Linked DNA regions of Oryzias latipes. The protein of the gene in region 2 interacts with the protein of the main gene of each other region in a biochemical or structural test. Links are inferred from orthologs where the notes say so. Each region holds a gene or a part of one and is shown on either strand. Other genes may lie near its edges.

Evidence for each region.
Region 1: the proteins of hsp90ab1 (region 2) and sumo2 form a complex in vitro, tested with the Homo sapiens proteins (2 studies listed by BioGRID). The link is inferred for Oryzias latipes from reciprocal best matches to the Homo sapiens genes HSP90AB1 and SUMO2.
Region 3: the proteins of hsp90ab1 (region 2) and stub1 form a complex in vitro, tested with the Homo sapiens proteins (3 studies listed by BioGRID and IntAct, with this or other methods). The link is inferred for Oryzias latipes from reciprocal best matches to the Homo sapiens genes HSP90AB1 and STUB1.
Region 4: the proteins of hsp90ab1 (region 2) and stip1 form a complex in vitro, tested with the Homo sapiens proteins (2 studies listed by BioGRID and IntAct, with this or other methods). The link is inferred for Oryzias latipes from reciprocal best matches to the Homo sapiens genes HSP90AB1 and STIP1.

What each region holds. Positions count from the first base shown.
Region 1 is NC_019866.2:13,022,394-13,026,722, reverse strand, and holds the start of sumo2 (small ubiquitin-related modifier 2), read right to left. Parts: upstream 2,854-4,329; 5' UTR 2,836-2,853; coding exon 2,815-2,835; intron 351-2,814; coding exon 219-350; intron 1-218. Other genes in the region: nuclear pore complex protein Nup85, read left to right, coding at 3,739-3,771. UniProt on the Homo sapiens protein: Ubiquitin-like protein that can be covalently attached to proteins as a monomer or as a lysine-linked polymer.
Region 2 is NC_019882.2:5,881,846-5,886,183, reverse strand, and holds the start of hsp90ab1 (heat shock protein HSP 90-beta), read right to left. Parts: upstream 2,840-4,338; coding exon 2,690-2,839; intron 2,609-2,689; coding exon 2,402-2,608; intron 2,299-2,401; coding exon 2,139-2,298; intron 2,051-2,138; coding exon 1,917-2,050; intron 1,836-1,916; coding exon 1,533-1,835; intron 1,463-1,532; coding exon 1,297-1,462; intron 1,217-1,296; coding exon 1,026-1,216; intron 837-1,025; coding exon 689-836; intron 610-688; coding exon 341-609; intron 254-340; exon of another isoform or gene 227-253; intron 1-226. UniProt on the Homo sapiens protein: Molecular chaperone that promotes the maturation, structural maintenance and proper regulation of specific target proteins involved for instance in cell cycle control and signal transduction. Undergoes a functional cycle linked to its ATPase activity.
Region 3 is NC_019877.2:8,954,507-8,958,851, forward strand, and holds the start of stub1 (E3 ubiquitin-protein ligase CHIP), read right to left. Parts: upstream 2,856-4,345; 5' UTR 2,585-2,855; intron 2,033-2,584; 5' UTR 1,916-2,032; coding exon 1,802-1,915; intron 1,709-1,801; coding exon 1,510-1,708; intron 1-1,509. UniProt on the Homo sapiens protein: E3 ubiquitin-protein ligase which targets misfolded chaperone substrates towards proteasomal degradation.
Region 4 is NC_019872.2:19,986,821-19,990,992, forward strand, and holds the start of stip1 (stress-induced-phosphoprotein 1), read right to left. Parts: upstream 2,855-4,172; 5' UTR 2,739-2,854; coding exon 2,730-2,738; intron 144-2,729; coding exon 1-143. UniProt on the Homo sapiens protein: Acts as a co-chaperone for HSP90AA1. Mediates the association of the molecular chaperones HSPA8/HSC70 and HSP90.

The DNA.
Region 1 (4,329 bases), on a different chromosome or scaffold from region 2:
CATTTGTATCTAAGCGATCATAAGTTGTTGTTTTTTTTTCCACAATACTTTTGCTTATATAGGGATATAAAAACATATTCCTTGGGTAATACAAAGTTTAAATGATCTAACTACTTTTTAACGAACCTTTACTTTTTGTATAAGCGTTGTGATTATGATAGTTTTCCTGAATCGCCACCGTTTTGTGTGTTTGTTGTCTAATAGGGGATTATACTTACCTGTCTCTCACAATATGCCTTCATAAGTTTGATGAGCGGTGTGTGTCTTTTGATCTTGAACTGCACGACAGATCCATCCTGACCTGCTACCTTTAGATTTATGTGTTCGTTATTTTCAGTCTTCACTCCTTCCTACAAAAAGAAATAAATAAATAAAGAAATAAATAAATAAATATTGTAACGGTTTAAGAAACAACAAACAGGACAGGTCATTTTAGACACAAATAACAGTGGTTCCTTGCATAACAAATACCCCACACACAAAAAACTATCTGCCTTGGATGCCTGCATGCCTCGCAAAACAAATTAACATCACGTAACGAAGCCTGTTTGCAGCGAACAATTGATTTTCTGGGGGAAAAGGCCAAATCCAGACAGTTGTGTGCCGTGTCATTCAGATGAAGACTGTTACCCTTCGGTGCAAGGCTCGGTACAGTGCTTAAAAGCCGCCAATCATCCCCATCTCCTGGTTAGGTTATTGAAAACAAACAGACTGGACGCCAGTGTGATGGCAAACCTGGGCATGTTTGTTTTTTCCTCTGTTACACAATGCAGGCCAGAGCCTCTGGTTGTGATAAATGGTACAGACCGTCCTCTGGGCAGGACCACTATGGCAACAGCAGCCAGTCGCACCAAAACTACATCGCATGTGGGATCATAATCGCCCACTTACTTGTTGGTGGCAGGTTCCCATGAAAACCACAAACACGTGTAAATAAAACCATAAAGGTGGTGCAGCAGGCATTAAGAAGATAAAGCATGTTTGCCCCCATTTGGTTTGGTTTCTTCTGGTTTTTCTTTCTTGAATATTCTTTTTTTTAATACTATTTTTCTTTAAATTTGTAGAACGGATGACATGATTTTCCAAAGTCGATGTGAAATCTGGCAATGTGTGCAACATCGCCACAAAAAAGAGGAATAATGTAGGGAAATAAAATTTCCAGCTCCATCAAAAGAGCGCCGACAGGTGAGACGGACTCTCCTTGAGTGGCCTAATATTGAGTGGAGAATAGGTCTGTTCTTTAGCTTCAACAGGTTGAAGTTTCTTAGTCACCCTGGCTGGAAGAACTTAGCCAAAGTCTGTTTCTCCTCCATTTTTGAGTATGTTCCTGAAATGACCATGACCTTCAACAAATTCACTAGTCTGTAGACTTCAGTTTGGTTGGGGTGCCACTGAATGGACGTCTTGGTCCTACTTCTTAAGTGTGTTCTTGATGGTGATGGAAGGAATTGACCTTTTGCTCTTCTCATCTTCTGAGGAGAGTCATCCCCTTCTGTTTTTCCTTAATGGGTTTGTGTCCAGGAGGTCTTTTCTCCTCCTTGGTGATGCAAGTTGGGTCACTTCTTCCAGAAGAGGCCATTTTTGCTTCAGTTGAAAAGCTGATGAGGGCTGTGGCCTTCTTCCCAAACTAACACCTGAAATTCTCCTGCAAACCTCTCAGCAGCAGCTTTGTCGGTCCTAGCTACCTCTCCGTGCAAGGCCACTCAAACAGCCTTGGATTCTTCTTCTTCTGTTTTAGCTCCTTCTGCATTTGTACTTCTTTATTTCTTCATACCCTGACTTTCTCGCAGATGAGCTCTGCCTCCGTCTGCCTCTCATCTTCATCTCTGAATAGTTTTCTGACCTCGTTGCTGTTCCCCCGTGGTCATACAGTTCGGCAGGACGCACCTTGAACGTCAGGTGCAGCTCGATGGTTTCTTTCTTTGTTTCAATGCTCAGAGCTTTTCTGACCATTAACACACCTATTGATAGGAACCATTTTTCTTGGGGTTCAACATTCAAAATTTAGAGACTAAGAAAAAAAATTAAGAAGACCTGTCCTCCAATTAAGAAGACCTTTAACTTAAGGAAACACGATCCAAGACACACAACAAGTCACACCTATGTACCTGGATTTAACCATTCTGTTGTACCAGAAAAAAGTTAATTTAATTTATTTATTTACAAAAAAGGTTCGTTTTGTGAGGCAAGTGGGTTGCAATGTTTATCATGCAGATTGTTTGTTCTATAGTTCTTTATGTTTGTCAGAGTGGAAAAATAAAAAGATAAAATACCAGAATTACCAGGGATAGAAACATAATTGTAGGCCGTATGAAAAACAGATGCTAAAAAACACGTATTCATTGTTAAATATTAGTTTCAAGTATTTGAATATTTTATTTTTGGTATCCAGTTGTTATAACCCGTTTTCTTCAACGAGTCAAGCCAAAGTGTTGCAGACTGACTAGAACAGTTTAGTCTAGAGACTAAATACAAACAGTTCGTTTTCTTGTTTATTTTTTCCATTCTGGTGCGTCATTACAAAACACAGACAACTTAATTACCACACAAACACAACGCAAGAAAACCGCAAGATTTATAGAGAACGACACCAGCTGGTTGGCGGGATGTAATCAGCCTAAAAGCGACGTGCGCGCCAGTCCATGCGCGCTCACATACCTTCCGGTCCATCAAAGTAGGTACAGTTGAATCTTATCACTTAACTTTTTTATTTAAAAAAATACGAACAGCACACGCGGGAATGTAAATTCACCTTTAAGATCGGCGATCCAGTTAATTTGTAATAGCATCGTAATTGACAATGGGGTCACTTACCTTTGGTTTTTCATCAGCCATCGTCACTCTTTTGGCGCTTCTCTATGCTACCACACAAAGAATATGAGTGCGCGCACGTACTCGTTCCCGTTTAAATTATTCGGGGAAACGTGCGCGGGCATGTGTCAATGCGCGTTCACTGAACAAGGATTTAATTGGCCGCATGAAGTCACGTGGACTAAAGCGCAGTCTAGTTATGGGCGGGAGACTACCGCCTGCGCGTTACAGAGATACTCGGCTTCACATGCACGCGCACGGCAGAATTTTTCCCTTTTGTTTTTGGTTTAGGTCTATTATATACGAAGGAAATCTGTTCATCGTCACGCCGAAGACTAGTATCAGTGCTGCACGTTTCATAAAGCGCCCATATGATCGGTATTAGATGTACAGCGTGATATATTAGTACTCTCCTTATTTTAACCCCTCATTATAGCCCAGTGGCCATCTTGGTTTTTCTTTCTTTTTTTGTTACAATAAAAAACAGGCACCGACTAAACGACAACATTTACCGATATGGCGATATATTTTCTAAGATAGCTAACTTATATAACGTTTTAATGTATATTAACAATATGATACGATTGTATCTTCCTGATTCTGAGAATATGTTACACGTTTTCGGAATAAAATTACTTCGACTTTTAAATGTATATCGATTCTAAAGATAGTGTTATTTGCTTCAGTCATGTCAGTTTTCTTGACGTAGATTAAAAGTAAAAGAAAGTACTGTACTTGCAAATTTAAAAAAACAAAAAACAAAACAGGCATTAAGTAGGACAGTCCTACATTTGACGCATGCGCGAGATAGTCGTAGAAAAAGAGAGGCGCGCAAGCGTTGCTATATTATAGCACGTGTTAAATGGCATGATTAAGGTGAAAAAGTTCATAGTTTGAAATTTAAAAGGATCTAAAAAGTTTCATCCGATGGAGGAGGTAGACGTTGAACCGACGATAACCGTAAGTCTTTCGTACTATGTAGTTTATTGTTATGCGCTATCGAATAGCAGCTAACAAGTTAGCTAAGCATTTTGAATTTTGTAAATCCTAAAATTCGGAATAAAAAAATACACTAGTAGTTAATGATACAAACACAAAAGTTTATGATGAAATGTTACGGACCGACATTACGAGTTGGAGGTTTCGTAGCTAAAACAATGTCACAGTTGACATGTTCTTGGATATAAAGAAACAAACTTGGAACAATGGTTAGAAAATCAAAATGTAACGTTATTTTTGTCTTCTACGTTTTGTTAAGTTATTTTGTGCTTTGTCAAACAAAGAAAGGTAAGTCTTTTCCTGGACATTTTTGAGTCCAGTCTCTGTCTTAATGTCAAGGTAAATAAATATCCTGTTGCATGTGTCCAATGGATTAAAACTAAGAAAGGCAAAAGAAAACCATAAGAGTGTTGGTTGTAACATTGCAACTAATAGGCAATAAATCGAATGTTGTTTGAAAGCCAGGACATTTTAAAATGATTTTATTTTATTTAAGCTTTGTTTAATAGGGACAGTGCA
Region 2 (4,338 bases):
TCGGTTTGAGAAAACCGACCACTGGAATGCAATACACGCATGCGGTTCAGGCCGTTTGTGTGATGCTGATTTCATCGAGTGTTAGACACAGCCTCAAAAGACAAACATTGTTAGAACTCACGTCGCTGTCAGACTTATCAGGCTCTTGCAAAACCAAACCCTTTCAACTCAAATATCAGGCAACGCTAGAAACTCTACAGGCCACTTCTACTCTGTATGAACTCACCAATATAAGTAGTTACCACTAGGAAACCTGTTTCCAAACAAAACACCACTGAAGTTAAGGAAATGATGGTGAAGAAATGAGGAGCAAAAGCACAGTTTCTTATTTGAGACCAACCTTCTCTACTTTCTTGTCCAGAATCTCTTTCATGAGCTTGCAGAGGTTCTCAAACTTGGCCTTGTCATCCTCCATCTTCTTCTTTTCCTCCTCATCCTCTGGCAGCTCCAAGCCCTCTTTGGTGACAGAAACCAGGTTCTTGCCATCAAACTCCTTCAGCTGCTGAACACAGTACTCGTCGATGGGCTCGGTCATGTACAGGACCTCGAAGCCACGCTTGCGGACGCGCTCCACGAAAGCAGAGTTGGCAACCTGGTCCTTGCTTTCACCTTCAGAGGCAAAAAACAAAAACTTAAGTCGTGCCAAAAGAATCAACAAAAGAACATATGGACTGGAAGCCAAACCTACCAGTGATGTAGTAAATGGATTTCTGGTTCTCCTTCATGCGAGAAAGGTACTCTGTGAGGGAAGTCATTTCATCTCCAGACTGGGAGCTGTGGTAGCGCAGCAGCTCAGACAGCTTCTTACGGTTCTGAGAATCCTCATGGATGCCGAGCTGTGAACATAAAAGTTGTGATCGATTTACTCAACTAAATTCTGGGTAATGCAGCAAGCGTTGCCCAATTCCAAGGCTTCACGCTAAATATGTGTCGATTTATTTTCACACCTTAAAAGTTTACAGGAAAAAAAAAATCCATCAGTTTATAGGCATCATTTAGAAAAGCTTCAGATATGTTTGAGATACCTTGATGTTCTTTGAGAAACCTTCATAGAATTTCTTGTAGTTTTCTTTGTCTTCTGCCAGCTCTCCGAACAGCTCCAGGCACTTCTTGACAATGTTTTTGCGGATTACTTTCAAGATCTTGCTCTGCTGCAGCATTTCTCTTGAAATGTTGAGGGGCAGGTCTTCAGAGTCCACCACTCCACGGATGAAGTCTGTTGTAAACAAACAAAAACGTTTTAAAGCTGCTGTGCATTTCCTTTCAGATCCGGTGGAACAGAGATTTAAAACTTACTCAGGTACTCTGGGATGAGCTCTTCACAGTTGTCCATGATGAAGACTCTCCTGACGTACAGCTTGATGTTGTTCTTCTTCTTCTTGTTCTCAAAGAGGTCAAAAGGTGCACGACGAGGAACAAAGAGCAGAGCCCTGAATTCCAGCTGACCTTCCACTGAAAAGTGCTAAAAGAGAAACACACGTCAGCACGAGGTTCCATCAGCCGATCAGAAGACACCCAAACCTCTATTTTACCTTCACAGCGAGGTGATCCTCCCAGTCGTTTGTGAGGCTCTTGTAGAACTCGCCGTACTCCTCACTCGTGATGTCATCAGGGTTTCTGGTCCAGATGGGCTTGGTCTTATTCAGCTCTTCCTGGTCAATGTACTTCTCCTTGATCTTCTTCTTCTTCTTGCCCTTGTCTTTAGCGTCTTCTTCATCATCTGAGCCCACATCCTCAATCTTTGGCTTGTCCTCACCTTCCTCCTTGGTCTCCTTCTCTTCTTTTTCCTCCTCTGCCTCATCATCACTGATCTCCTTGTCACGTTCTTTCTCCACCTATAGATAAACCACGTACAACTCCACATAAGCTTCTATTAGTGAGAAATATGTTTGTAAAAAAACAAACAAATCACTTACAAAGAGGGTGATGGGGTAGCCGATGAACTGAGAATGCTTCTTCACGATCTCTTTGACCCTCTTCTCCTCAATGTACTCCGTTTGGTCTTCTTTAAGGTGCAGGATGATCTTTGTTCCACGGCCAATGGGCTCGCCTGAGAACAGTGTTGTAGAGGTTAACAAATGTTTCACAGTCAGATTTTAGTTTGTTGCACCATAATTATAATATTTGAAGATCCATACCACTGTCGACCTTGACGGTAAAGGATCCCCCAGCAGAGGACTCCCAGGCGTACTGTTCATCGTCGTTGTGCTTGGTGATAACCACCACCCTCTCAGCGACGAGGTAGGCAGAGTAAAATCCCACACCGAACTGACCAATCATGGAGATGTCGGCTCCAGCCTGAAGAAAACGGCAAAGTTCCACAATTTGTATTCACTTCTGCTAAAAAAATATATAAATGTGTATATGTATTTTTCCCCTTTATGCCTGTTTATATTAATACCTGAAGGGCTTCCATGAAAGCCTTTGTCCCAGACTTTGCAATGGTACCCAGGTTGTTGATAAGGTCAGCCTTGGTCATGCCAATTCCAGTGTCAACAATGGTCAAGGTGCGGTCAGCCTTGTTGGGGATGATGTCGATTTTCAGATCCTTGCCGCTGTCCAGCTTGGAGGGATCAGTTAAGCTTTCATAGCGGATTTTGTCCAGAGCCTAAAAATAATTCAGCGTCAAGATATTTCACTGTATTGACACAGAGGTGATACGATGTTACGTAAACTGCTGCAGACTTACATCAGAGGCATTGGAGATCAGCTCCCTGAGGAAGATCTCTTTGTTGGAATAAAAGGTGTTGATGATCAGGGACATCAGCTGAGCAATCTCTGCCTGGAAGGCAAAGGTCTCAGCCTCCTCCTCTTGGTGCATTTCTTCAGGCATCTGCATAAGAAATAACAGGTTTGCAACAAACAGCGTCAGACTAATAATGGGATGAACCAACAGGAAACGCCAAAATAAAAGCACAACATCTTACAAATACGCAAAATACGGTAATAAACTGCCAATTATTTTACTAAGATTGTAGTTTTTAGTTTAATTTTTTTTAATGAATAATTTTAAACCATAAACTACCACAATTCAGAAACCGGTTCAGAGTCGGATCCCTGCCATCAGATTACAACATACGGGCGGAAGTGCAGCGAAACATGGCGGCGAGGCATGGACAATGGACGCTGCAAGCACGTGCCGACTAAAACCGAAAAAACCCGAAGCTTCCGTGAATATCAAGATCGAACGATTTTGGATTATCGCTCAGGAGCTTTACTGCAAAAAAATAGCCCCCAAAACTACCATCACCCCGAAAAACCACGAGCACTCCTGTGTCGGTTATGCAAGATGTACATGATGTACACACTCTGGGTGTAAGATTCTAAACTAGTAGTCCATCTAGAATCCTTCGTTGGCAAAATATACACAAAGACACGTCAATCGCTCGTTAAACTATGGTAATGTTATTCTTTAAACAGTCAGGTACAACCAACCTTCACAATAATAAATCTCCATACCTTCTGTCTGCCTACAAGATGCGGCAAAAGCCCACCACTTATTTTCGGTCACTAGTACAAGATTTAACCTAAAGCCCATTACTAATTAAGAATAGTAAACCCGCTATGTCAGAAATGCTTTTAATCGATGAATCAAGGTTAAACAAACCACGTGAATCGAAATCAAATAACAAAAAAACCCGTTAAATGACTCAACATTCGGTGTAGAATAATAATAAACCATTTAAAGTTTGGTTTCCCTCAATATGAAGTGAATTACCAAGACATACCTTGTTTCTTATGTTGGCTTTTCTTGAATAAAATGCAACAAAAGTGCTATCCCTGCCGCTCACTGACGCAGGAAAAAGAAAGGAGGATTCTGGAGCTGCACGCCGAATCTATATGCTCATGAGTTTCAGTGCAGGACAAGATCCCTCCGCGGCGCTCCTTCTCGAACTAACTGTGCTCCTCCAGAAAAATATGTAATTATTTATATCAACAGATAAAAAGTTATAGTGGAATAGCATGCACAATATTTTGATTGGCCAAGGAGGTAAAATCTAAACGTTATAAATTTATTATATTAAAAACAAAACTAAGAATAAAATCAATCGTATTTGATTTTTGCTGCCATCTAGCGGTTATTTAAGATACAGCAAAAACTACATCTACGAGCTTCCGTTTAGTAATTGTCTAAATTCTAAAAATGTGTCAAAATTTTGTTGAAAAAAAAAAGTATTTGTATAGAATCTCTATATCTGGATGTCAAAAATTAAAAGCACGCTGTATTTTTTACGGAATCAACGAACACTCTAGGTCTTTGTAATCACATGGAAGAATACCGAAGGGGAGTGCTTCGTTTCTTCTAGCACTTTCCATGAAAAACCCGCCTAAACATGA
Region 3 (4,345 bases), on a different chromosome or scaffold from region 2:
CGTGAAGTTTCCATTAGAACAGATATAAATCCAGATCTTAACCAAAACAGCAAACAATAGGATTCACTTTAGACAGAGATCATCTGCCCATTTTTTAACACTTGACACGGCACAGAGACAAACAAGACCAATGTAAGAATTGTATGTTTGCAGGCGTGTGTAACAGCGTAGTGAGACAATAAACATGTAATTCTGCTCTTAATCACTACAAAAGTTATCTGTGCTGAATCCAAACCCAAAACTGCAGCAAGACAAATAAATCACAATATGATCAAAACCCAAGCACGCACGCACACACACACACACACACAAACATACATTTATACACACAAATTAAATGGTAAACGGCATATAATTGATTGAAATATGTCGAGCATTGATTTATTGTAACGTTGAAGATAATTAATCTAAATAATAGAATGTGTCAGAATATTAGCTTTTATCATCAAAATAATAGAAAAAGATGTTTACAACCTAAATGTTCAAATGCCTTCATTTCTATCACTTAGCTTGGTTAGGGCTCCTCTATGTGAATCACTGCATCAATGCACTGAGGATATGAAGCGTGTGGCTCTATGTAGAAGTAATGGAGGTTTCTATGTGCTGCCTTCACATTATCTGCATTATTGAGTCTGGTGTCTCATCTTCCTCCAAACAAGAGACAATAGATTCATAATAGGGTTCAGGTCAGGGGAATGTGCTATCAGCCACAGTAATACTATTAATTGAACCAGCTTTTGGTTCTTTTGGCAGAGTGGGCGGGCCCCATGTCCTGCAGGAAAATTGAATCTGCAGCTCCAATGAGCTCAACACCAAAAGGCAGCATGAAGTGCTACAGAACTTTGTGTAGACTTCAAAAAAACATGGACCTACATCATCCCTGACTGTGGAAGCTTCACAAGACCCTTCAGGCAACATCGGGTCTGTGCGTCTCCAAATGAAATACAACCTTTACTTTTGGACCACTAAGCATCTGTCTGGTTCTTTTCTAATGAGCCCAGGTAAAAAACAAAAAACAAAAAAAAACGTCTAACTCTGATGATGGTGAAATAAATCAGAATTTTGCATGGATTTTCTCTGTTGAAAGTCTTTTTTCTTTCCACTCTATTTTCTGTTAATATGCTTGGACAGATTAACTACCATGATTGCATATGGACTTACATTTGTCTGATACATTTGAAGGTTCAGGAAACCTTTGCAAAAATAATCCGTTACAGTTTTTGATACTTTTTATTTTGTCATTTTCTTCTTAATGTACCTAAAGTTGATGAAATGCTCTGGTTTTAAGGTAAATGCATTGATTTGTAACTGCTGGTGCCTTTAAGAACATGTGCAAGTTTGATTTTCTCATCCCCACAGAAAATTCTTTTTTGTTAGAATCCCACAATAAAAGCACAAGTGAACTGATCCATCTTCAACACCTAAAGGTTGTGATCCTTTGTTCTGGTGTTATGATTAAGAAAACCCGACACGAACGGCTAGGAGAGAAAAATCAAACTAGTTTCTGACCTTTTTGCAAATTGCCGATTGCCTCATCGTAGTTCTCCAGCTCCAGGTGACACTGGCCCAGGAAGAAGTGGGCTTTAACAGACTGACTATCCAGCTCCAGTGCATGCTTACAATCTGTCAGAGCCTTGTCATACTGCTGCAGCTTCACGTGGCAGAGGGCCCTGTTGGTGTAGTATACTGCCACTGATGGATTGCGGTTCTGGAAGACACAATGGGGAAAATAAAGAGTATTTACGCGCAAACTGTTTAGTCTTCGCCATTAGTGTTTGGATGAGAAATCCCAGACGCTTACAATAGCTTTACTATAGCAAGAGGCAGCATCCTGGTACTTGCGGCAGAGGAAAAGCCGGTTCCCCTGCTCCTTGAACTCCTGCGCGGTGGAACTCTTCTCCGGGCTGCCGGCCATCTTCTCCACCGGCTCCGCGGGGCCCGCTTCGCCCTGTTTCCCTATCCTGTTCCCCGTCTCTTCGGCTGGCTAGACAACAGGTTTTCAGAACGTCCCGTCCGGCTTGGATCTCACACACTAAAACACAGGCGCGTGCTGAGTTAGCGATGCACCTGCAATGCGCTGCTTCTTCAACGATCTCTCGGCGCAACGCTGCTGCTTGGTGCCGCTCAGAATGCATTCATTCGGGTTTGCTGACAGTGCACGCCGCTGAAAATCACAGCTAGACTGCCGGCGAATTAACTATTCACATTCGGAAATCGATGGCCATCAGCGAGCACAGCTATTTAAAAAAAATCCAGAACCATTAATTTACACATCCACTCAGGTTTCGAGTAAAAACACCAGATACAAGATAATATATTTAAGTTAACGAAAAATTGTATATTATTGTTACACGACAAGAAACACAAAAATAAGATTGCTAACTTACAAACAAACAGAGGAGGAGAATCGATGCTATGCTAAAATTAGCTAAGCTTTTATCTTGAAATTATTTTGTTTGGGGACATAGTACAGCTTTTGTGTCTCTAATCAATTTTATTGACATTTAATTTAGGGTAGATTCTGGTGAATTGAAGCAGAGGATAGTAAAACCATAACTACTTGTTCAAGGATTTCAATATTTACCACAACGCAGCTCGGTTTCTTCAAAAAACATAAACTAGCTAGTGCTAGCTTAGCCTTTTTGCATTACAGTTGCTTCACGTCCGTTTCAGTTTGTTGGAGGCTTAAATAAAGTTTTACATAGTACCCACCCTTACCTTTAATCAGAAATTTTACATTCAGCTCAAACAGATTTAATTTAGTTTGATATAAAATCGTTACGGATTATTTTTACCACCCGTACGAACTGTCAAGACGGAATGTTGTGGTGCTGACGTCAAACGCTTTACGCTCTAACAACGGAAGCCGAGAGCACACGAATCCTGATGGGAGTTTGCGCAGAGGTTATCTTCAAGTATCATAACAATGTAAAGTTTCTGTGCTCATTTCTGTAAAAGTACTGTGGGAACAAACCCTCATCTGTATTGGGACTGCTCTCATAATTTGGCTTTATAGAATGCCAGCCCTTTATCTTTAATCCTAAATTAATCATAGAGGGTCATTGGAGCTGTGAGAAGAGCATGCAAACAACGTGAAACAGGGGCCTTCTATATGTGAGAAGACCCTGGTATCAGTGCTAGTGGTTAGAACTAACATAGCTGACTACTGATACAAGTAACCACACCTTATCTCTGAGTGATGGTTAGTTGTATAGAAAATAGGTACTGACCTTACATTACGTTAGACAAAATACTATAACAACACCCTATCAAATAAAAGTGTTTGTTTATATCTGATTCGAAATTATTAGTAAAATAATTGATATTAATGGAAATAATTTATTATTATTATTTTGTCTTCCTTAAACTTCTGTTATTGCACTAATCCAAAAGCATTGAAGATGATAAATCTGTTCTATTTGATTTGGTGCTTTTTATGTCTTTACTCATTTTTCACTTTTTATATTAGCTTGATGCCAAATTTTAACATGAGACTTTGCTTATGTTAAGAGAAGCATAAAAATTCATTTTTTTTCTGTATCGCTTTGTCCCTTTCGGGGTCACGGGGCTGCCGGAGCCTATCTCGGCTACTTTGGCGTAGGCAGGGGATGCCCTGGACAGGTCGCCAGTCTGTCCAGGGCAGACTGCGTTTTTTATGCTTTTATGCTGCTGTAAGCATAAAAATGTAATTGAAAAAAAAAAACGTATATATTTTTTAACATTCAGAAAAGTATTTTTTTCTCAAATATGGTTTGAAAATGAAATGAAGCCACACCTAAATATTTCCTGTTATTTTTATGCATCTTTACAATCACTCATTTAAATCTGAATAAGCAAAAATATGAGAGCAAGAAATGGAAAGATGGGTTTACCTGAGGTTGTTTGAGACGTTTATACAAATCTGAAATGTGTAAAGAGGAGTTATTTTAAAAAATATGATCAGAAATATTTGCATTTTTTGCAGTTGAACTACCAATTTTACACACCAAGATACAGAAAAAGACAACTGGGTGGTTTCTCATTGCACTTGTAAAAGATCAGCACAGGAAATCTAGTGTATTGGCCAGAAGATGGCATCATCGGGCTACTCGTTTTTTTAAATGTGAGTCAAATCTTTAATGTAATCTGTTATTAAGTAGTTTAGTACAATATTATGAATTACCATTGCATCACTGTGTTATGTAGTGACTCTAATAAAGATATGTGCCAAATAAAGATGTGTGCCAAAATAAATTTGATGATACATTTATACTTATTCTGGATTCAGTTGACAAATGTAAACATTTTTAAATCATCAAAGGGATTTTTCAGCAACGGTTATAATATTAAAAACATTTTTTATGAA
Region 4 (4,172 bases), on a different chromosome or scaffold from region 2:
TTTTTGGCATAAGCAGCTGAGCGGTTGCTGTACAGAACATGGTTGGATTGGTCGAGAGCCAAGGCCTCCGTGTAGCAACGCACAGCTTCATCGATATTCCCTGCACTCAGGGCTTTGTTGCCCTGCTCCTTCAATGCTGAAATCTAGAAAAACATCAAAACCCAACATGCTTATTAGCACCAGATCAAAGTTTGCATACAAAAAATGCCATATAGAGGAGCTGAAAAACAGCCTAAGAACTGATCATGAAAAAACAAACAATAAGACCACAATGAATGGAGAATTTCTCCTTCATCTGTACAGACGAAATTTATCCACACCATAAAGAGAAACTCCAGAAACAGTTTAAACATCCATAACAGGGGCAAATGAGAGTAAAAGAGGCACAAATAAACAAAATTGCCCACTTAAAAATGTAAAAAAGCTATGAACATTGACGTTTGTGATGAGGGTATATTCAGTCTCCTAAGCATTGGGTTGCCTTGCCTTAAGGAGCAGATTAACCTGCTCTCTTAGTAATGCATTTCAGATTAAGGAAAGGCTTTTGGAAAAATATTAAATGTGAAACCAAGTCCAATTGACTGCTTTTTTATCAACCTACTTCTTTGATAGTTATACAAAAGGTTGTTCTCGTCACCAGAAGATACTACGTTTGAATGAAAATGTAAAAAAAATAACAACATTAAATCGATACTTTGTGAGATATAATGATTCCTGGTCCAACACATTAAGCTTGTAATGTAAAAGAAGTTTGCATTCCTCCACACACTGCACTTAATCCAATAAAACCCAATTGGGTAACTTGTGTCTTTTCTTTCGTTTCTGTTATCAGAGTTAAAATTGAAAAAACACATAAAGCTTCACACCAGCTCGCAGTCGAAGCTGTTCCCAACACCTTTGATAATAAATTAAACATTTGAAAAAATGGCCAGATTTTGCTTTAATTTCTAAATGGACTCAAAGATCTGTTCATAAACTAAATTTCATTACTTCAGACTGAAGTGAGAAGTCTGTCCAAAGAAACAATACATTTAATAAACGGCACAAATAGAGATGAGTAAATTCAAACTTTGGTAATTCATCGCACTGAAAAGGAAGAGAACATATCACTTGCAATGGTCCATTTCCATCTTTTCTAAAGTAAAGAGTACAGTCAGTTGTCATGCAGGTGTGATGGCTCTATGAAATTCATTCTTGTCAAAAAAAAGAAGAAGAAAAAAAAAACAAATTTTCACAACTTTACACTATTCTTCAGACCAAGTTCAATATAAGAGCTTTAAAATACAATTAGAACAGATTTGAAAACTTCTTTTTAGTCTATTTAATGAAAGTAGTGGATGTTGAAAACGTCAAATATGACTTTTTCAATGGGGGGTCATCCAAGAAGAGAAAGAAGTATTTTCTGAGCAGGTCAACTAAAATGAGTATGTCCCCAAGTTTTGTGAATAAACAACCAATGTTTGTGCCTGTTTGTCTCCTTTGATCAAATTTCACATTTAAAGTTTATGATCATTAATTTATCAATGCAATCTTTATAAGATGAAATTGAGAGGACTCATATTTCTATATTTGTGGGTTGATAACAAAAGTTTAAATACAGCTTAAGACCCATTACATCACATGTAATTACCTTTTGTAAAGTATTAATTACACGTGTGAATTCAAAGCTTACTGTTAAAAGACCCTTTAGGATTTAAATCATTTTCAGTTTTACAGACTAATTAAGTCACAACATGTAATTACAGCCAGATCACCACAGATTAGGGGATTAACATTAGTTGATCCCATGAACAACAAACGCTGGATATTAAGAAAATATAATTTTTACATGATTAGCATACATATACATATAGTTGCTAACGCTGTTGCCAGTAAATATTATTGCAATATTTATCACTAAATATTTGCGACAGGTTTGGAGAAAACGAGACTTTAAATTTTTTTTAGAGAGACGTTCAAATTGGGACCAAAATACTACAATTTAAAAACCGGAAAAATGCGCGACAATTTCCGACGACATGCGGCTGTAGCCATGGCAGCAGCGACCTGTGCATCTAGAATGATCCTCCGGTGTGAGAGCAGGCTACTTAAACATATACAGCCGATCGAAAAGTACTTAAGCGCTGTGTGCCACACTAGAACGAGAGCATATAAACTAGCAATCTCTAATACATACAAAAATATACAACTAGTTGCATTATGAACGTAATTTAAATCGTTATTTCGTACTTGCAATGTCAAAGATTTGCGAACTAGTCTGAAGCTACGAGGGTTAAGGATAAGCATGGGCAAAGACAGAAAAGAAATGAACCAATATGTATATACATTTTTTTTATAAATCAAACACGTTTAGTTCAAATTAGTGGAGTTTCAGTAGAATTTTCGTATCATGGCTAATTAGCTTAACTGGACACACATGCGTTGTTACCTGGAAATATCGCAAGACTATTTGGACTTTAACATAAAATGAAAATGTTTTACGGAAAACTCAAAGCTCAGCTACACCTTCCATTCTAAGTGACCACATTGAATGACGGTTAGCTAACATTAAGCTAGCTCGATGCATTAGCAAAGTGAATCTCTTCAAGCTAAGGATTAAAACTAAGACAATTTTTTTAACTACGATTTTTAAGAAAACTCGTTTCATCTCAACATTGCACAATTCTTTAAAAACCCATTTTAAATGTTTGTTTTGAAAGAAGAAGAAAATGCGATTACACGAGACTTACTTTCTCCATGATACAAGCATGAGGTACGTTCCAGAAACTACTGCGGACTAGCGCCTCCCCCTGAACACGTGCGGGTTGCCAGATTGTTGTAGAAGATCCGCAAACAGCGACGAACTCGCGTGGAGCCTCTGACGAGCAATATATAGCCTCCTGACTGAAACTTCCAGAAGATGAATTGGGAAAAAAACTCTCAAAACCCAGCCCTTGAAGTTTTACTCTCCTCTATGCCTAATGTAAAAGCTCAAATTGAAGATACAAGCGCATTCACTTACAAGAGTAAGAACAGAAGTCTGAAAAAAGGTTAAATTAAGCGTTTATATTTTGAGCAACACCAGCATCCACGTAACTATAATATTGAAGAGAAACTCATACTTTTAAATGTCATCACATATTTAAGGGTGTTGACAAGGTTAACATTTTTAAAATTTAAAACATACATGTTTAAATACAATAAATATTCATCAGTTTTACTTTGCTAATATTTTAACATTAATACGGAAATTTCCTTTGTATAAACAAAAATGCATTGTAGTGCTTTTTGGTCACTTTGGTAAAATATTGTGTAACATCAATACGTTATTTTCTAATGAATCACTAGAAAAAAACATTTAGGTAAAAAATATTTTCTTGAACAAAATATGTGTCAAACATTGTCACATTAAATTAAAAAAATGAATGAAACATAAATAAAAATCCAATAGAGGTTTTTTTAGCATTCATTTATTAGAATAAAACTCAAACAAAGGACAACATGATATAAATTTAGTATAATGGAACAGAATGGAGTAGAACCTTACTGAATAAATTAATATTTTAGTGTAACAAATTCACAAGTATCCAAGGTGAAGAAGAAAAAACAATGAACAAACAAATAAAATATAATAAATTGATTACAGAAAAGGGGTTTATTTAACACTCTTTGCCACCAAAAGAAACGTACCAAATAGAGGATGTAACACGTGGTATTGTATTTCACAAAAAAGGCAAATTGTAATGTGAATAGAGTGTGAAAAGGTTACATGTGGCTTGATCACCCAAATCTTTTTTTTCTTCTCACACATTGTAGGATAAATAGTGATGTATTGACAAGTATTGTAGATAGATGGACAGTTTCTTCAACTGATAACATGCAGGTGGTGTAAGAGGTGGTTCAGTCTGTGTTATTGGGGTATTATTAACTGGTGTATTCAGTAATACAAGCGATACTAACCATATCATTTATGCAAACGAGCAACTCAGATCGACAGATAATGAATTTGGTAAAAGCTCGATAACACAAACGAGCCAGTAATGAGCGCGTGCGCGCTCCCGCGTGAGGGGTTGAGGTCTCGTGAGGTTAGCACTGTAACACGTTCTGGTTAAACGGGGATTGCTCTGTCCACCCACAACGGTCAGAATTTATTTATCTCGAGCTAACTTGAATTTTCATCGATTAATATTTTT